Caenorhabditis elegans: one gene and its partner. The protein of the gene in region 1 interacts with the protein of each later gene in a pairwise test. Each region holds a gene or a part of one and is shown on either strand. Other genes may lie near its edges.

Region 1 (8,635 bases):
TCAATTCTGAACAATTCATTTCTACTTGTTAAAAACTCAATTTGAATACGAGCTCACAATTTGCTTGCAAAAGGGCTTGAGAAGAATCGAAATAAAAAAAAATGCCAAACATCTATAGAACTACTGATGAAATTGTCGCTCAACGATTGGAGGATGGAAAAGATGTATTTGACGGGAATTTGACAGCTTCTTGTCTACAGTTTGCGTGACAACTCCTTGCCCAAGTTGGATATTAAAATATGCATTTGGCTTGGAAATTGGCAAAGCTTGAGCAAAAGTTTGGCAAGACTTGATGGCCCAAGTTTGATCCGATCCTTGAGAATCACTGCCAAAACGACATAAGTCAAGTTTCACGCTAGGAACAGATTGGGCCAAGTCTTGCCCAATTACTCGTTTGCCAACTTCTGAACAATTTGGACAAGTTAATGCGCAAATGCCGAGATCTTGTGATCAAATGATCATATTAGGAACATTGAATTTTTGAAAATCAAAAACTGTCTAGTAGTCGGTAGGTAACTGTGTCATGTGCGCATAATGCCTCAGTACAATTAACCTATTGATGGAAACATTACAAAAAAAGTGTGAAAGAGCTTCAAGTTTCTTGCAACTTCATCGGAACATTTGAATTTTTCAGATGCATCTCAATCTTCATCATATGAATCTGTTTGCTACTGGAGCATTTTCCAATGTCTACCGTGGAGTTGCTCAAACAGAATCCAATCAGGAAATCGATATTGTGATCAAAAAGACCTGGCCGCGTCACAAAGGATGTCCAATGGAAGTGAAGATTCTTGGACAGTTGGGAAAGTTGAAGCATCGGAATATTGTTCGTTTGTTGTACAGCTATCAGAAACAACATGAAGGTGTGAGCACGCTTAGTTGATAGAATAATAAGCAAATTACAAATATTCAGGTCGTATTTGTCTTGCTCTGATTTTCGAGTACATTCCATTGAATCTTTATCAGTTTCTAAAAGACAAAAACCGCCGGATTGACATTGTAGAAGTGAAGCTTATTGTCTGGCAATTGTTTCGAGGACAAGCACATTTGGAGAAGGTGCAGTTATTTTTTTGAATATGTCTCCCATTCAATCTGGAATTTTAAGGCTGACATTTGTCACAGAGACATCAAGCCTCAAAATCTACTCTACAACGCCGAAACAGGTCTGCTGAAAATATCTGATTTTGGCTCATCGTCCATCCAATCTACAAAATCACCACAGCAAAGTTATCATGTCACGAGATACTACAGACCACCAGAATTGATTTTAGGCTCCAAGTACTATGGATGCAAAATTGGTAAGAAAATTCTGAAAAAATATTCAAATTATCTGATAATTTTGTTAGATGCTTGTTGGTGAATTCTTACTAAGCCCAAGTTTACTATTAGTTACCTTGAGCAAGTCTTGGAGTTTTTTGCTAGAATATAATTTTTCAGACACGTGGTCTTGCGGATGTGTATTTGGAGAGCTACTGAAAGGCGGAATCATCTTGGCTGGAAAATCATCGAACAATCAAGCGGAGGTCATTTTCGATATGCTCGGATACCCAACAGATTCTGATGTGTCATCAATGAAAGTGAGCAGCACGAAGTTGCAGGAAGTTTTGGATTCATATGAATATAATAAATCGAAGACAACTGCCGACTTGACTTATCTCTACACACAGACAGTCATTTATCAGAAGGATCGGAGAACTACAGTCTATAATACGGTAATTATTATACGAAGAACGAGTTCATTGAAAATTCAGACAATTTTCATCAGCGACCGGTTTTAAGTGCTACATTCGGAACCATCTTAACATTTGAAACCGATTTGATGTACCACTAGTCTGTTATTGATTGCGCGGCACAAGCTAGGTACAAGATAGGCACAGAGTAGGCACCAAACGATAAGGCGCATGTGGAATCAAATCGGTTTCAGGCAAAAAGCTTTAAGAAAACCTCCAGAGAGTTGTTTTTCAGAAAATTGAGCAAGATGACATGAAAGAGTCAGTAGCAGTTCTTCTTCAAATCCTTGTCTACAATCCGAACAAGCGTCTCTCTGGAATTGAGATTCTCACTCATCCGTACTTTAATGTGGTAAGTTTATCTGAACCTTATGATTGTCACCTAACATAATGATTTTAGTTATTCAACGAGAAAACGGTGAGATTCAATAAAAAGAAGATTTTGTGTCTTTCTGCAGTCGACTTACAATCCGTGAAATCTGGAGATACAACTTTGACGAATGAATCGGTTGAGCAGACGAGTTGAATTCGAGAAAAGAGCACTGATATTTAGATTATCAATTTTGTAATATATGAACAGTTCTGAATGGGGTCTCCAAATTGAAATATATGTCACTATATCTGTCTTTTTAGAAGCATAACTAATTTGAATATGGAGTTTCGTCCTATGGCTCCTCTGGCGAAGAGCGCCTTGGACTGCTTGGCATTGTACACCAACTTTTTGCCAGAATTTGGCAGCGACAATATTTTTTTCAACAGTTTAAAACAATACAAGAAAGGTTTGGGTCAAAGTTTGACATGAATAAAATCAAACTTATGCCAAACTCTAGTGCATTCTAAATCTACAAAAGGCCGAGTGGAAAAGTCGATCTGAAACAAACATTCTGAAAGCTTGAATTATGTGTGTTTTTTTAGAAAGAAAACTTTAACTTGATAAAAAACTACACTTTTGGAACAATTTCACAAAACTCGAAAGTTGGAAACATCCAAGGAACAGTTTTCAGGTCGATATTTTTTAGTTCAAAGTGCGAGGCATGTAGCAGAATGTTTTATAGGGGCCTATGCAAAAGGTTTTCTTTCAAATAAAAAATGATTTTAATTGAGAGTGTGAAAGTTAAAAAAATTTGATCAATCAATTGTGGTCATTCAACTTTCAAATACTGGTCACACTATAAATGCGTGCATTATTTCACTTATTTTCTTGCATTATCACTATCACATTTTTATATGCCCTATCATCCATCCATCATCTTCTAATTTTTTTCCGTTTCCTCCTTCATCATCCTTAAAAAGTCTCTCCCCTCTAATTCCATCTGTTGCTTCTTCTCTCAAATATCCAGTGACCATATGTAGGGGGGTCACTCTCAATTTCTTTTCATTTCTTTCTCTCTTCATAGTAATAATACGGTCCTCAACGGTGTTTGGTGACGAGGTACTGGACAAATAGAAAAAGCGCGCACGCCCCTCTCTCTCACACCATTCCTTTCCCATCCCCCATCATCCTAAAGAAATATTGATTGGTGAGAGTATATGAAAAATGGAGACTCAGACATACGTATCGCGTGTTTAAAGACATTGTGTCTACAATGGAGAGTATTCTCTGACGCATCTTACTCTAGATTTTCCATACTTTCTCTCTCATCGGGCAAGGAAGCGACGATTTACATAATTAATTGATTTACTCTCGATCCATTGCACAACTTGTTTTAAAATTCAATTTTTTAAATTCTTCACCTAATATATTCAATTGCCTATAATTTGTTTTGGTGTCTTTCAATTCTTCTTTTCGACAGAAAAAAACTTTTCTTTATAGTTTTCAGAATGGCTCAGGATATATTTATGGATCCATGGCAATCGGCGACGAGGTAAGGCATAGTGTGACATTATTAGCTTAAGTTATGGCTTTTTATTGCAAAAAATGTGTTGATTAAAATTGGTTTTCTATGCAATACAACTATTCAGATATGCTTATTGCTGGTTATTTTTGGATACTTCTAAACTTATATTTTAAATTTTAAATAATTTCAGCTTCGCAATGGAAGATGAAGATATGGGCATGCCATCTGGAAAATATGCTCGAATGGAAGATGAAATGGGAGAGAATAAGGAAAGATTTGCAAGGGAAAATCATTCAGAGGTGAGGTTTTGAACATTTATATCTGAAAATTTATACTGCTATGTTTCATTAATTCAAATAAAAAGTACGATACTCTGGGTATTGTTTGACCTGTAAAACTGCAATTTTCATGGGACGTAACACAACTCAAAATTAAATTTCCAGCGATTTTAAATTTTTTAAAAATTTCTACATATGGTGCTAAAATTATCGAGTCATAGAGAACTTTTTAAAAAATTATTTCAAACTGTATAATTAAAATTCAAATAGGCACAATTTTAGAGTTTCACATATCATGAATTCGGAAGCCGACCGAAAAATCTTTCTTTCTGCAAGTATTAAACTAAAAACTAAAAGTTTAAAAATTTGGCAATTTACCAACCCTTTGGTTGAAATTTCTGAAATCAAAATTCAATATGGAAAAAGTAAAATTTCTTGCTTCAAATTCAACTGAAAACGTTTTAGATTGAGCGACGTCGCCGTAACAAAATGACTCATTACATAAATGAATTAGCCGAAATGGTTCCACAATGTGCATCACTTGGACGTAAACCCGATAAACTAACGATTCTCCGAATGGCAGTATCACACATGAAAGGAATTCGAGGACATACGGCACAAGATGAAACTTCATATAAACCATCATTTCTTACGGATCAAGAATTGAAACATTTGATTCTAGAAGCAGCGAATGGATTTCTTTTTGTTGTTTGTTGTCAGACTGGAAAAGTGTTATATGTTGCTGATTCAATTACTCCCGTACTTAATTTGAAGCAGGTGAGCAAGATTTGAATCTTTCATTATTGAAATATAAATATTAATTTTTAGGAAGATTGGCTTCAAAGAAATTTGAATGAACTCATACATCCAGATGATCAAGATAAAATTAGAGATCAATTGTGTGGAAGTGAAGTATCAGTTAATAAAGTTCTCGATTTGAAATCTGGTGAGTTATCATAAAAAGAGAAGAGGAGAGATTCAAGGATTTTTTGAATTTTTTCCAAAGTAGTCATATAACTTGGAACCGTTTACAGTAATAACCACTTACTTCAGTCAATCGAATTAAGTAGTATTTGTTTTAAAAGCATCTATTGTAATTTCACTAGATTTTGGCATGCCCAAAATTTGTGATTTTCCGTCAAAAAGGTATCTGCTCGCTCTTAAAATGTGTGTATCTTTAAAAGTACAGTAACCCACTTCAAGTTAACTATCAAAATCATTGAATTTTAGGATCAGTGAAACGCGAAGGAGCATCAACACGAGTTCATATGTCATGTCGTCGTGGATTCATCTGTCGAATGCGTGTCGGAGCCCTTGAACCACTTCATCGTCTCAGAAATCGCCGTCCCTTATTCCAACATGCTGGTCAAAATTACGTTGTGATGCATTGCACAGGATATATCAAAAATGCTCCACCACAGGGAATTAATGCTCCAGCTTCATCTTGTTTGGTGGCAATTGCCAGGTTACAGGTTAGAATAGTTTACGATGCAGATAAACGTGATTTAATTAAAGGTAGCATCAATGCCGGTCTGTGCTGATCCAACATCAACAAATCAATTTTCGGTTCGTGTTTCGGAAGATGGAAAAATGACATTTATTGATGCGAGGGTTAGTGATTTAATTGGTTTGAGCAGTGATCAACTTATCGGAAGATATTGGTGGAATCTTGCACATCCAGCAGATGAGAAGACCCTTCAAGACTCATTTGTGGCTCTTTTAAGGTAAGTTTTCGTAAAAAAACCTTTTTGAACAATTTGCGTCCATCAAATTTCATATTACCTGCTTTCAAGAGTGTGTGCGGTTTTAAAGAGTACTGCAATTTCAAACTTTCTACTCTGTAGAATTTTCGTCGATTTTTCATAGTTTTTCTCACTATTTGTAAAAATACATGTTGTCTTATGTGAGTTTTTAAACAAATAAATATACCTTTATCAAAAAAACTATGAAAAACCAAAGAGAATTGAGTAGAAACATTAAAATTACCGTACTTTTTAAAGGCTCAAACCTTTTTCATTAAACAAACATTTGTCTTGTCGAGACCAGGTACCGTAGTTTTTTAATCGTAATTTTCGCGGTTCTAGGGAATATTTTCAGGCGAATTTTTCACGAATAATATTCGTGGCGGGACCATTTCGAAAAATGTACTTTCCTTTAAACCTATAGCAGTAGATTCCATGTTAACTAAATAAAAACATTTCCATTTCAGTGACCAACCAATGAGAATAAATATTCGAGTACGTACCAGTACTGATTACATTCCATGTACTGTGTCTGCATACAAATTCATGAATCCATACTCGGAACAGTTCGAATACGTGGTTGCAACACATCAAATTGCTCCACAAGAAGATATTAATAATTGGGTCACTGCACCAACTGTTCCTCAACCTCAAGCCAGTGAATTTGGAGAGCTCGGCGGTGCTCCAAGTGCTGTGGATTACGGACAATCGAGTAGTGGAGGATGGAGACCTGAAGCTCAAGGAGCACCACAGGCACAATGGCAATGGGACCCGATGAATGGATATAACCAGTGATTATAATTTCTAGAAATTGATATATTTTTTTTTGAAGCCTATTCCAATGATTCTCATTTCTATCTACTTCTTGAAAAGTTTTCTTTTTTTTTCAATTTCCTTAACTTTTCTGTTCAGTATTTTTCCTTTTTTCTGGACCAACGAGTTATTCAACTCATTCTGAACACTAAATTTTATTACTAATAATATTGTCAAAAAATCAAAAGAAAACAACGAATAAATGAAAACAACTATAAAATAACGGATTATTGCTTATTTTGGTGGATTTTGAAGAATATATTCCGTCGCCGACGTTGCCGTTGACTTGTGCTTTGAGAACTGTTTCGCTGGAAGTTGTTCCGTGTTCATTTCTGTTGGAAGCCATGTTATCGGTGTCCATTGACCTTGAATAGAAGGAACCAATGCACTTTGACGACTCTCTAGCTTCACAACTGGTTCGCCGCTTCTTGAGAATAACAAATGCACATCTTTGCTCACTTCGTCTTGTGTCATGTTTTTTGCATTGATCTGTAGAGTCCGACCATTTCCATATTCTGCGCGGATTGATGGGTTCGAGTTTCGCACAGGCTGGGCATAGATCACAACTGATGGGTTTTTACGGCCTGAAAAAAACGGATTTCCTTCTTTATTTAAAAAAAAATGAAGCTTTTAATTTAGATTCTCTATTAATTTTTTGATCGTAGACAGAAATTCTTACCGATTTCAACGAGTTGATTCTCAATAAAATTGCGAACTCCGACACTGGATTCACTTTGTTTGCAAAACCTGACAGTGATGCGATGAAGTTGGTTGGTGTAACGCGAGATTCCATTATAAGCCGGAATTTTCAGAAAATCAGAAAATCGCCATCCAAAGTTCAGAGCTTTTGCGGCTGTGTAAATGGGTTTGAGGCGATCAACACGTGGAACCGATGGCATCTAAAAATGAGAGTTTGATAAAATAAACTTTAAGTATAATATTGAAATAGAATATAAGAAATCGTACTGTTAAATTGGCAAAATGAAGAAAGGCAACGGCGCTCTAATGAAAAGAATACGAGCGTCTTGTTCAAAAGCGACGACAGCTGATGCGAAAACAGGTTTCGCGAGGTTATTTACACAAACAAATTTCATTAAAATAGAAAAAACGTGACTAATCATCACATATCAAGAGATTTTGTTGAAAATATCGAGCCAAAAAATTAATAAATTCCATTTGAAGCTCCGAGAATTCTAGGCCACGGCCGTGTCGTACACGAGGACAAAATTTTTTTCCTGTGATTTCTTCTTGTTATTGCACTTTGCCCCCTATTTAGCCACACTCTAGCCAACATTTTTTTGTTTTCAGATGGCAATTGCAACGACAAAAACTGCATTAACAACAATGTAAGTATTTATTAATATTTGATGCTTGCTGTTCAAATAAAACTACGGTTTTCAGAATGAATTGGATGACATTCACGGATGACTCGAAGGAACAACTAAAAATTGTCGAGGGACGTCTGTTTCAGTCTTGCGAAGTATCATACGAAGCCAAATATGTCCCGGTGAGTGAGAAATATTTGTTTCTCTGGTCTGGAGTGTCTTTTTCAGGTCAGATTCAAAAGAGGCGAAGTGTACACGGTGACAGTGAGGCCCAGAGAAGCTGAAAACCTAAACGGCGAAGCAATAGTTTTCATTCCTGGATTGGGCGCTGGTGTTGCAATGTTCACGGCAAATTTCAACAGCTGCGCCAAAAATCATGCTGTGCATTCATTTGATCCACTAGGTTTCGGAAGATCATCGCGATCGAGGTTCAGTGACGACAATGCCATCGCCGAGTTGGAAATGGTTGAAGTGATGGAAGACTGGCGAAAAGCCATGGGAATTGAGAAAATGTACATTATAGGACACGCATTTGGAGGATATTTGGCGAGTGCTTATGCTCTCGAGAATCCATCAAGAGTTGCTCATCTGATTCTAGTAGATCCATGGGGATTCGCTGAAAAAGTTGAAACAACTGAGAAACTGGTAAGAATGTATTGTTTAAGAGCTTCTGATGCTAATAATCAGAATACATGGCTTCAGATTAAACCTTATGCTTGGATGTCCTTCCTTGGAGGAGTTGCCGGATACTTCAATCCATTCTCGCCGATGCGATGGATGGGGCCATATGGTTAGCTGTTCAATCTTAATTATTTAACTTAAAAGATTTTTTTTCAGCGCCGGCAATTGTCAAAAAGTTGCGTCCAGATCTTTTACTCCGATTCCCCGGACTTCATGACTATGATATTT
Region 2 (7,759 bases), 670 kb from region 1:
CAGATGAAAAATTGACTTCAATTCAAATTCCCGATACTCTTCTCTTCGAATATACAGACACGAATGTTTTGAACCCGTGCTCCGCAAGAAACATTGCGAAAGCATGTATTATGTCTCAAAAGGAAGAGAATACGGTACTTTATTCTTCTTTCTTTCCCTGAAGATTATTTCTAGTCAATTGTTCAGTTATTTTATGTATTGCTAAATTTAGTTTTTCTTCAAGGTAACAACTTATTTTCTTTTTCAGATTCGTTGTGATTGTTGCTCATCGAATCCAATTGTACCATGCTACGAAAACGAAAACTGCCCGTGCTATAAATTAAACCAAAAACTGCAAGGATTACAAATAAATAGTTCCAGTCACCCTCCTACCAAATTCGTAAGTCCTTCCGTAAGAATATGAAAAAATTTTTAATAAGAAGTTCAGGCGTCGTTTGATCCAGTAATGTTCTCCAATTCGAATAGTACATTCGATAGATGTATTGGATTCTCCTGCTCTGAAGCGTGTGGCTGCAAAGGAAACTGCACCAATAACAGTTTATTAATTCTTAACAAAAAACTGTTTCCGCTCGAGATCTATCGAAGCAATGAAAACGTTGGATTTGGATTACGTTCATCTGTTCTGATTCCAGCTGGCACGGCAGTATTGGAATTTACTGGAGAAATAGTTGAGCGTAATCAACTAGATCGTGACAGTCAAGATTATGCTTATCAGCTCACAGATAAAGACAATTCGAACTGGAGGCGTCTTTTGGATACAATGAAATTCTCTGATGACTATAAAAAGTTTTTGAAGAAGTTGAGCTACGAAGAATTTTTCATTGATCCAAAAGCCAAAGGAAACGTTGGACGAATGATTTGTCATAGCTGTTCGCCGAATTTAGAAATCGTTCGTGTCTACCAGAAAGGTCTTTCACCAGCTCACGTACATCTCGTTTTCATTTCGCTGTTAAACATTTATCCAGGAACACCGGTAAGCTATTTTATAAGTCTTGATTTGGAAATTTTATACCACTATCAATCTAGCTCATAAAGTTTGTTTTTACATTTCAGCTTACAATGGACTACGGATACAACTACATGAAAAATCATCTCAATGGAAAATGCGAGTGCGGAAGTTTTGCATGTTTGAACAGAAAAAGCTCCTGTCATACAAATATGTCATTCGGAGATGTAAGTATTTTTAAATTTGCAATTTTAATATAACATTTGTTTCAGTTCGCAGCTTATTATCGCAAATTGGACCATCAACAGTGGGAAAGTTGGCACAAGAACATCTGCGAACCTCTTTCATGCAACGACGATGTAGTTGTTTTAGATTAAGTGTTTTTGAAGTTTTACCGTTTTTTTTTCTTATTTTTTACTGATTTTCTTTTTTTCGTAAATAATAAACCTTTATAAAATCTTGAATAACGTATTACGCGAATTAGATTAAATCACATTATTCAACCAACTATACGAACCCATTCGAAACGTTTTTTTTGCTAATTTCAATAAAATTGGAGTTCATATCCATATAAACCTCCGAAAAAAAGTGCCAAACGACTTTCAATCAACTCTGCCGGAGACTTCATTTGGCGGAGCAACGAATCGGACGACTCGGGCCCGCCCATCAAAGCTCCGCCCATTTGCAAATGGCTACCAAATTAGGGTGACCTCCTCCAATCTCAATATTCTCCTTTTTCTTTTGTTTTGATAATTTTGATTATAACTGCATTGAAGACCTATATATATATATTGGAAGTGGCTCCTGCCAGCTAAATTCTAAAAATTTCGAAAATAATTTAGATTTGCATTGACCGTAGAATGATAGCATAAGCCGAACGATACAAATAAACTTTATTACTATTCGGAAACGCAACTTTATAACGAAATAATTAGTTTCCAGGTCTCGACGCGAAAGTACATTTTTCGAAAAAAAAGAGTATGCGCCTTAAAGGAGTACTGTAGAGTTTTCCGCGCCCGTCTTCATCAATTTATTTTTAGTTTTCTGGAATTTTTCATTTAGATTTTAGATGATGATGACGCGGTCCAATTTTGTTGTTGAAAAATAATTATTTTTAAGAGAAACATCGTTTTAAAAAACAGAAAGCGGAAAGTACTGTACTTCTTGAAGGCGCAGCGAGACCTGGTACCGTAGTTGCGCGTCAAAAATCTAGTTTCTCACATAAAGTGACAGACCTTGAAAGGTTTGAAGACAACAAATGAGATTCGAAAAGATTAAGTTTTATTTAAAAATATGGATTATATTTATAGTATTTCCGGAAATGACATTAGAAATACTCTAAATGTCTTTAACAAATTTAGATTACTTTCTGCAAAATGACAACAGTAGAAGAAAAACTGATATCGTGATGAGGAAACAATGATACAACTATTTTCAAAAAATATTTCTCGCGGCAGGAACCAAACGAAAACATCTGTGCGCTTTTGAGTACGTCTTGTGGAAAAAAATGTGGAAATCTTTTTCAAGGGTTCAATAGTAATATGGAAATATTAGTCATTAGTCATATTTAAGTTTCTAAAAATTAGTTTGTTTGAGGAATATATTTACAAAACATAAAGGTACTGCCCTTGATGACCTTGATATGCCTGAATTTTCTCCTTACTTTTTGTTTGCTAGAAGATTTTTCCTCGAACTTTTTTATTCTTTCAACAAAAATTTAGATTCAATTATTTTCCAGGTTAAACAGACGTTCGAATTTGTGAAATGTATGCCAGCAAACGTCGCCAGCGGAACTTCAAAAGGTGAATTTCAAGATTTTACCAAAAAAACTAGCATATTCTCGTATTATTCATCCATCAACTACCGTAATCCGCTCCCTCTCTTCTTCATCCGAAATCCATTGAAAATTCTATCCACTTCATCGTCGTCACGACTTTTTGGAAGGCGAATCTGTCCAAAATAAATATGTTACGAAAGTTGGCTGGATTCGGAGGTGATATGGGATTGGAGAGAGGGAAAGAAAACAGTTTAGGTGAAACTAAGAAACATTAAAAATAACAATTGGATTAACATTTAAACATTTTATTATTTTGATAATGCGAGTTCCAAATGCTAATAAGACAACACGAATTGCGCATTTCTACAAATTATTCTCATATTCAAGTTAGCATCTGGTATTTATAATTTACAAATGTTTGAAACTGCTCAAGGAGTTAGAGGTGGAGTAGTATCATAGGGAATTGCCAGTCAACATTTTGGGAAACTCCAAAATTTCAAAAAAACCTTGGCTTTTTGAAAAATTTATAGCTATTTCGTATGTTTGAATTCCTACAAAAAACGTCTTTGATTTTAAACAATTGTAAATAACAGTGGGGTTACCTTATTTTTGAAATGCACTATCTGTGGCACAATTAGCAAAATTAGTTTTTAAAATATAGTAAAACCGAAAACCTACTTAGATTGAAAATTACTTTATGTGTTATGATAGCGAGCAGAAAGTTCTTTCTATTTAAATTCCTTGTATTTTGTCAAAAATGTGAAGTTTAAAAAATACAGGGATCGTTTTTTTATGTAAAAGATAATATGCTCATTTCCAGTTTTTCTTAGCTTGAATATTTTGAGCTGTGAAGAAATAGATTAAAAAGTACAAAACTTGCATAGCCCATTGCTCTAATTTGACAATTCATATCTCGCTCGCCATCGGCTTTTTCAAAAAATGGTCAATTGATGAAATATATATTTAACCTTTTCCTATATTTTTAAAGTCAGCAAATTTTTTGACCAACTCAAAGATAACCTGAATACCAGTATGAGGGCTCAAAGAATGGGAATAGTTACAATGAAAAAAAAACTAGAAAAGTGAGAAGGATTGTAGTCTAAGGCTGTCGTCGTCCTTGGACACGATCGTTTTATTCAGACTGATGGCTTCAAACTGCCTTCTTTTTCTGTTTCTTCACATCTTCTCCACCATGTTCGTGCCATGTGCTCAGATGTGCGTGTGACACGGAAACTGTGCGTGAGGTAGAAGACTCTCCGTCTTCCCAACACTGCTCATTGGCCAGTCCGACGGTCTGTGTATCATTGAATCGTTGAGTCTCTTCTCACTCGCATATCGTGACAATGAAGACTTGTCCACATCAGGATTACTGCACGATGATTCGAAACACGCAAAACTACCAAAACGCACGCCAGTTTATATTTTAGAACCCAGACACTTTTCAGTCAACTTCCCAGTATCCCCTTCTCATGTGCCCTAGAACACGTAGCAACCAAGAGTGTTGTTTGAATTTTTTTTCGATTTTTAGTCTTTCTGAAAAAAACACTAAAATTGTTGCTGTTTCGGTAAAACCTAAAAGTTGAAAAAGTGTAAATATTTTCTAGAACAAATTCTTCATCAATTTGTTTGTATTGATAACAATAGAAGTTCAAGTTAGTACGTTTGATTTTGTTGATTTTCTCTCTCATCTGTTGCTCATCCTCTTCTCCCTCCTATAGAAACATCTCCACCATATGGTGCACAATTATAACAGGCGATAAACATTCACGTACAAATTCCGTAAAGATTCTTCCATGGAAGACCATACGAAATGATTGTCGAGAATTAATTGCTCCACTATGCCATCCTCGTTGAATTTTTGAGTGTTTTGCATGTCATGGAGAGGAGCCAGGTGTGGGAGCTATTAAAATGAGCGAATGTGGAGAAAGAGGGAAAGGGGAACCATATCTAAATGTTACAAGAAAAAACAAATATAATGATAGTGTTTCCAGTTTGACACACCTGTTCTTTTAGTTTTTTTTTATAAAAAAAACAGAACGCATGGGCATATAATCAACTGGAACATTTGCAGGGTACGGGATCCGCCGAAGCAGTTGACTAACACCAATCCGTCGAAACGGCACAGAGAACGGTGAGAATTGAATAAAAATTAGAAATTATTAGAAAATTGTGGACAAATTGAAAATAATTTTACAAATTGATTTTTCATGCCTATACAGTTCAAACTAAATTACTCATGTAATACACTGAAAAATGTTAAGACAAAAAAGCAAAACTGTACGCCTGTCGATTAGTTTTCTAAAAGGCTTAGTCCAAATTTTGAAATATGCATAAATATCTCCGTTTTTAATTTTCAGATTAAATGGAGAACTTGAGACGGTTGCTATGCTTCTTCCTTACGACAGCTCTACCATCAGCCGTCTGGATAAACTCTCCGTGCTCCGACTTGCAGTCAGCTTTCTTCAATGCAAAGCTCACTTTCAAGGTAAGAATTTACGTAACAATGGATATCACATCAAAAGTTATGTCACAAAGAACTCACCTTTTTCCCATCATTCCGAACACCTTAGAAGTCTCACATGCAATATTGACAGAGAAGGTGCCAATTACATGTTCAATGTGTCACATTCCTCATCTTCCGTAACCACTTGATGACCGTACCCTTGACATTCTCTGTGTCTCTCTAATAATTGAAGTGTCTGATAGTATATGTTTATATAGGGAGGGTGTATCATGAGTTATTGACATATTCTTGATATTTGATATGACAACCTGGCTATTAAATGGTCATGAAAGGTGAAATATAGAGACTTTTGCTGGTTATATGGGACTTAATTTTAGTTTAAGAAATTGTAAAAAATCAAAAAAAAAAAAGTTAACTTGAAAACAGTTAATTCAGTTAAAACACAGGTTACTTGATTTTATTCGGAAGCCTTAGTATTTGTGAATATGATATCGCATCGTTTAGTACCATAGTCTTCATAATTTTCCACCATCGCGCCTATATTATTCACTCGTTTTCTTTTTGGACTGGCTGCCAACAGATGCATCAGTTAGAGATCAAACGTCTTAAAGAGAGTACTGAGAAGAATACGGTAGGCGGCAATTAGAAGAAGATGCTCTGCTTGCTCCCTTCGCATGTATGTTATGTCTTTCAAGTGATAAATTGGACATCTCGATTGAATGCGTGATGATGAAGATGTGAGGAGAACGAAGAAACACAAATGGATGAAGAAAAGGGGACCAATAGATGAAAGAATATTAAAAATTCGTTGAGATAATAATTAATTTCTGAATCTGAAACTGGAAGTAAGTACATGTTAGGTCTTCACTTTCAAACATTGATCTACAGTAAGAAACAGGATCAGGGTTGTTAGGCTGTTTGCGTTTTAATATGAATAACGCAACTTGAGAAATGCAAAATGTTACCACATATTAAAAAGTCAATATTTTTTTCGTAGACTCTGCAACTTGATTTTACCAAAAATATAAATTGCCAGATGCCAAAACATCAGCAATTAGAATTTCCAGTTATCAAAAATAATGAAGTTTTTCCGATGACTGTGACTGTTCTGATTTGTAAAACGGACTTTAACACTTACATTAATTCATATTTGTAAACACAAAAGTATTTGAACCTTGTAGAAAATGACTTGGCGAATTGGCACAACTTCTCATCAAATTTTAGCAACTTGAAAAACGCCATTCGCAAATGTTACTCGCAATGTATCTCTTTGAATTACATTTTTTAGCCGAGTAACTTTTAAAATTATATTCTTAGGTTACCCAATACCGAGAACTCTGAAGGAGACTGTTCCAATCAAGTCTAGTCAAAGATTGTTCTTCAGTGGGAAAAATGTTCTAAACTCGGCAAAGAATTACGAGTGTTGTATAGAACGTCCAGCACCTGACGAATTCAAAATTATTAAAACAAAGAATAGAAAGGTAGTAATTTTGATAGATTTATTTGCAAGTAGAGAAGAGACATTTCAGAGTATGAAGGGCTAGTTCGAAAGGATCCTGCTCACTCCTTCTTCTCATCGTCCTTCTTCTCCTGAAAATTTATGTTCAGAAGATTGCTAAAATAAGGGCTTTGAAATATAAACTCACATCGTCTTTCTTGTCGTCATCCTTTTTGTCGTCGTCCTTCTTATCCTCATCTTTCTTTTCTCGTTTGGACTTCTTGGACTTCTTGGATTTTTTGGACTTCTTCGACTTGGACTTGGCTTCTTTCTTATCGTCTTTCTTCTCATCATCCTTCTTTTCATCCTTCTTGTCACCTTTCTTGTCGTCTTCTTTCTTATCGTCCTTTTTCTCTTCATCCTTCTTTTCGTCATCCTTCTTTTCGTCCTCCTTCTTTCCATCCTTCTTGTCGTCCTTCTTGTCGTCCTTCTTTTCATCTTTTTTCTCACTCTTCTTCTCTCCATCCTTCTTTTCCTCGTCCTTCTTCTCGTCCTTCTTGTCTTCATCTTTCTTTTCTTCCTTTTTCTCGTCTCCTTCCTTCTTTTCACTCTTTTTATCGCCATCCTTCTTTTCTCCATCAGCAGGCGCAGCGGCAGCATCTGGAGCAACTGGTGGAGCGTCTGGAGCAGCGGGAGGCGCTGGTGCAGGAGCAGTTGGGGCAGTCATCTTGGATGCGGACTTTGGTGGCCTGAAAAGGAAATCTGTAATTTTCATTCCTGAAACTCCTATAAACTCACGGTGCTTTCTTTTTTCCTCCGCATCCAATAAGCGCAGCAAGTGGGCCAACGAGAAGCAAAATGGCGTGTAGATAGTCCATCGGGCTCATCGTCTTCTTGTCGCTTGGTAGCGTTTATACAATTTTTGTATCGAATATGAAGATTCGTACTGAATTTTTATTTAATTTTTGTTCTTATATGGACAAATAATGTCAGGGTGTCACGCCAAAAAAGTATTTGTGAGAATTATTGAATTCAAAAAGAAAAAATTTATTTTAACATGTAAATTTTCTTACTTTTTCATTAGAGTACGTTAGATCATTTGAATTCCTTCCCTAAAATCAGTTTTCAAAGCTC

The links.
Region 2: the proteins of aha-1 (region 1) and ahr-1 interact in binary tests that used the Caenorhabditis elegans proteins (3 or more experiments, as listed by UniProt).

Annotation. Positions count from the first base shown.
Region 1 is NC_003279.8:10,191,907-10,200,541, reverse strand, and holds aha-1 (Aryl hydrocarbon receptor nuclear translocator homolog), read left to right. Parts: upstream 1-3,544; 5' UTR 3,545-3,551; coding exon 3,552-3,595; intron 3,596-3,758; coding exon 3,759-3,867; intron 3,868-4,311; coding exon 4,312-4,623; intron 4,624-4,674; coding exon 4,675-4,792; intron 4,793-5,076; coding exon 5,077-5,318; intron 5,319-5,361; coding exon 5,362-5,570; intron 5,571-6,055; coding exon 6,056-6,383; 3' UTR 6,384-6,617; downstream 6,618-8,635. Other genes in the region: Y106G6E.1 (Protein kinase domain-containing protein), read left to right, coding at 102-164, 635-863, 914-1,056, 1,106-1,298, 1,438-1,712, 1,966-2,082, 2,131-2,256; C25A1.15 (Transposase), read right to left, coding at 2,946-3,221; mrpl-34 (Large ribosomal subunit protein mL43), read right to left, coding at 6,636-6,985, 7,081-7,300; lid-1 (AB hydrolase-1 domain-containing protein), read left to right, coding at 7,710-7,747, 7,803-7,908, 7,955-8,371, 8,414-8,516, 8,564-8,635. UniProt on the Caenorhabditis elegans protein: Transcription factor. Efficient DNA binding requires dimerization with another bHLH protein, such as cky-1 or ahr-1. Regulates transcription of target genes, probably acting in complex with cky-1. Has a role in cellular differentiation.
Region 2 is NC_003279.8:9,519,868-9,527,626, forward strand, and holds the start of ahr-1 (Aryl hydrocarbon receptor protein 1), read left to right. Parts: upstream 1-2,682; 5' UTR 2,683-2,710; coding exon 2,711-2,748; intron 2,749-4,794; coding exon 4,795-4,854; intron 4,855-5,080; coding exon 5,081-5,208; intron 5,209-5,392; exon of another isoform or gene 5,393-5,413; intron 5,414-6,671; exon of another isoform or gene 6,672-6,747; coding exon of another isoform or gene 6,748-6,777; intron 6,778-6,833; coding exon of another isoform or gene 6,834-7,374; intron 7,375-7,423; coding exon of another isoform or gene 7,424-7,512; exon of another isoform or gene 7,513-7,574; intron 7,575-7,759. Other genes in the region: set-32 (SET domain-containing protein), read left to right, coding at 1-134, 248-379, 428-973, 1,054-1,173, 1,219-1,323; cylc-2 (Lipoprotein), read right to left, coding at 6,748-6,777, 6,834-7,374, 7,424-7,512. UniProt on the Caenorhabditis elegans protein: Probable ligand-activated transcriptional activator. Acts as a transcriptional regulator in GABAergic motor neuron cell fate specification and development.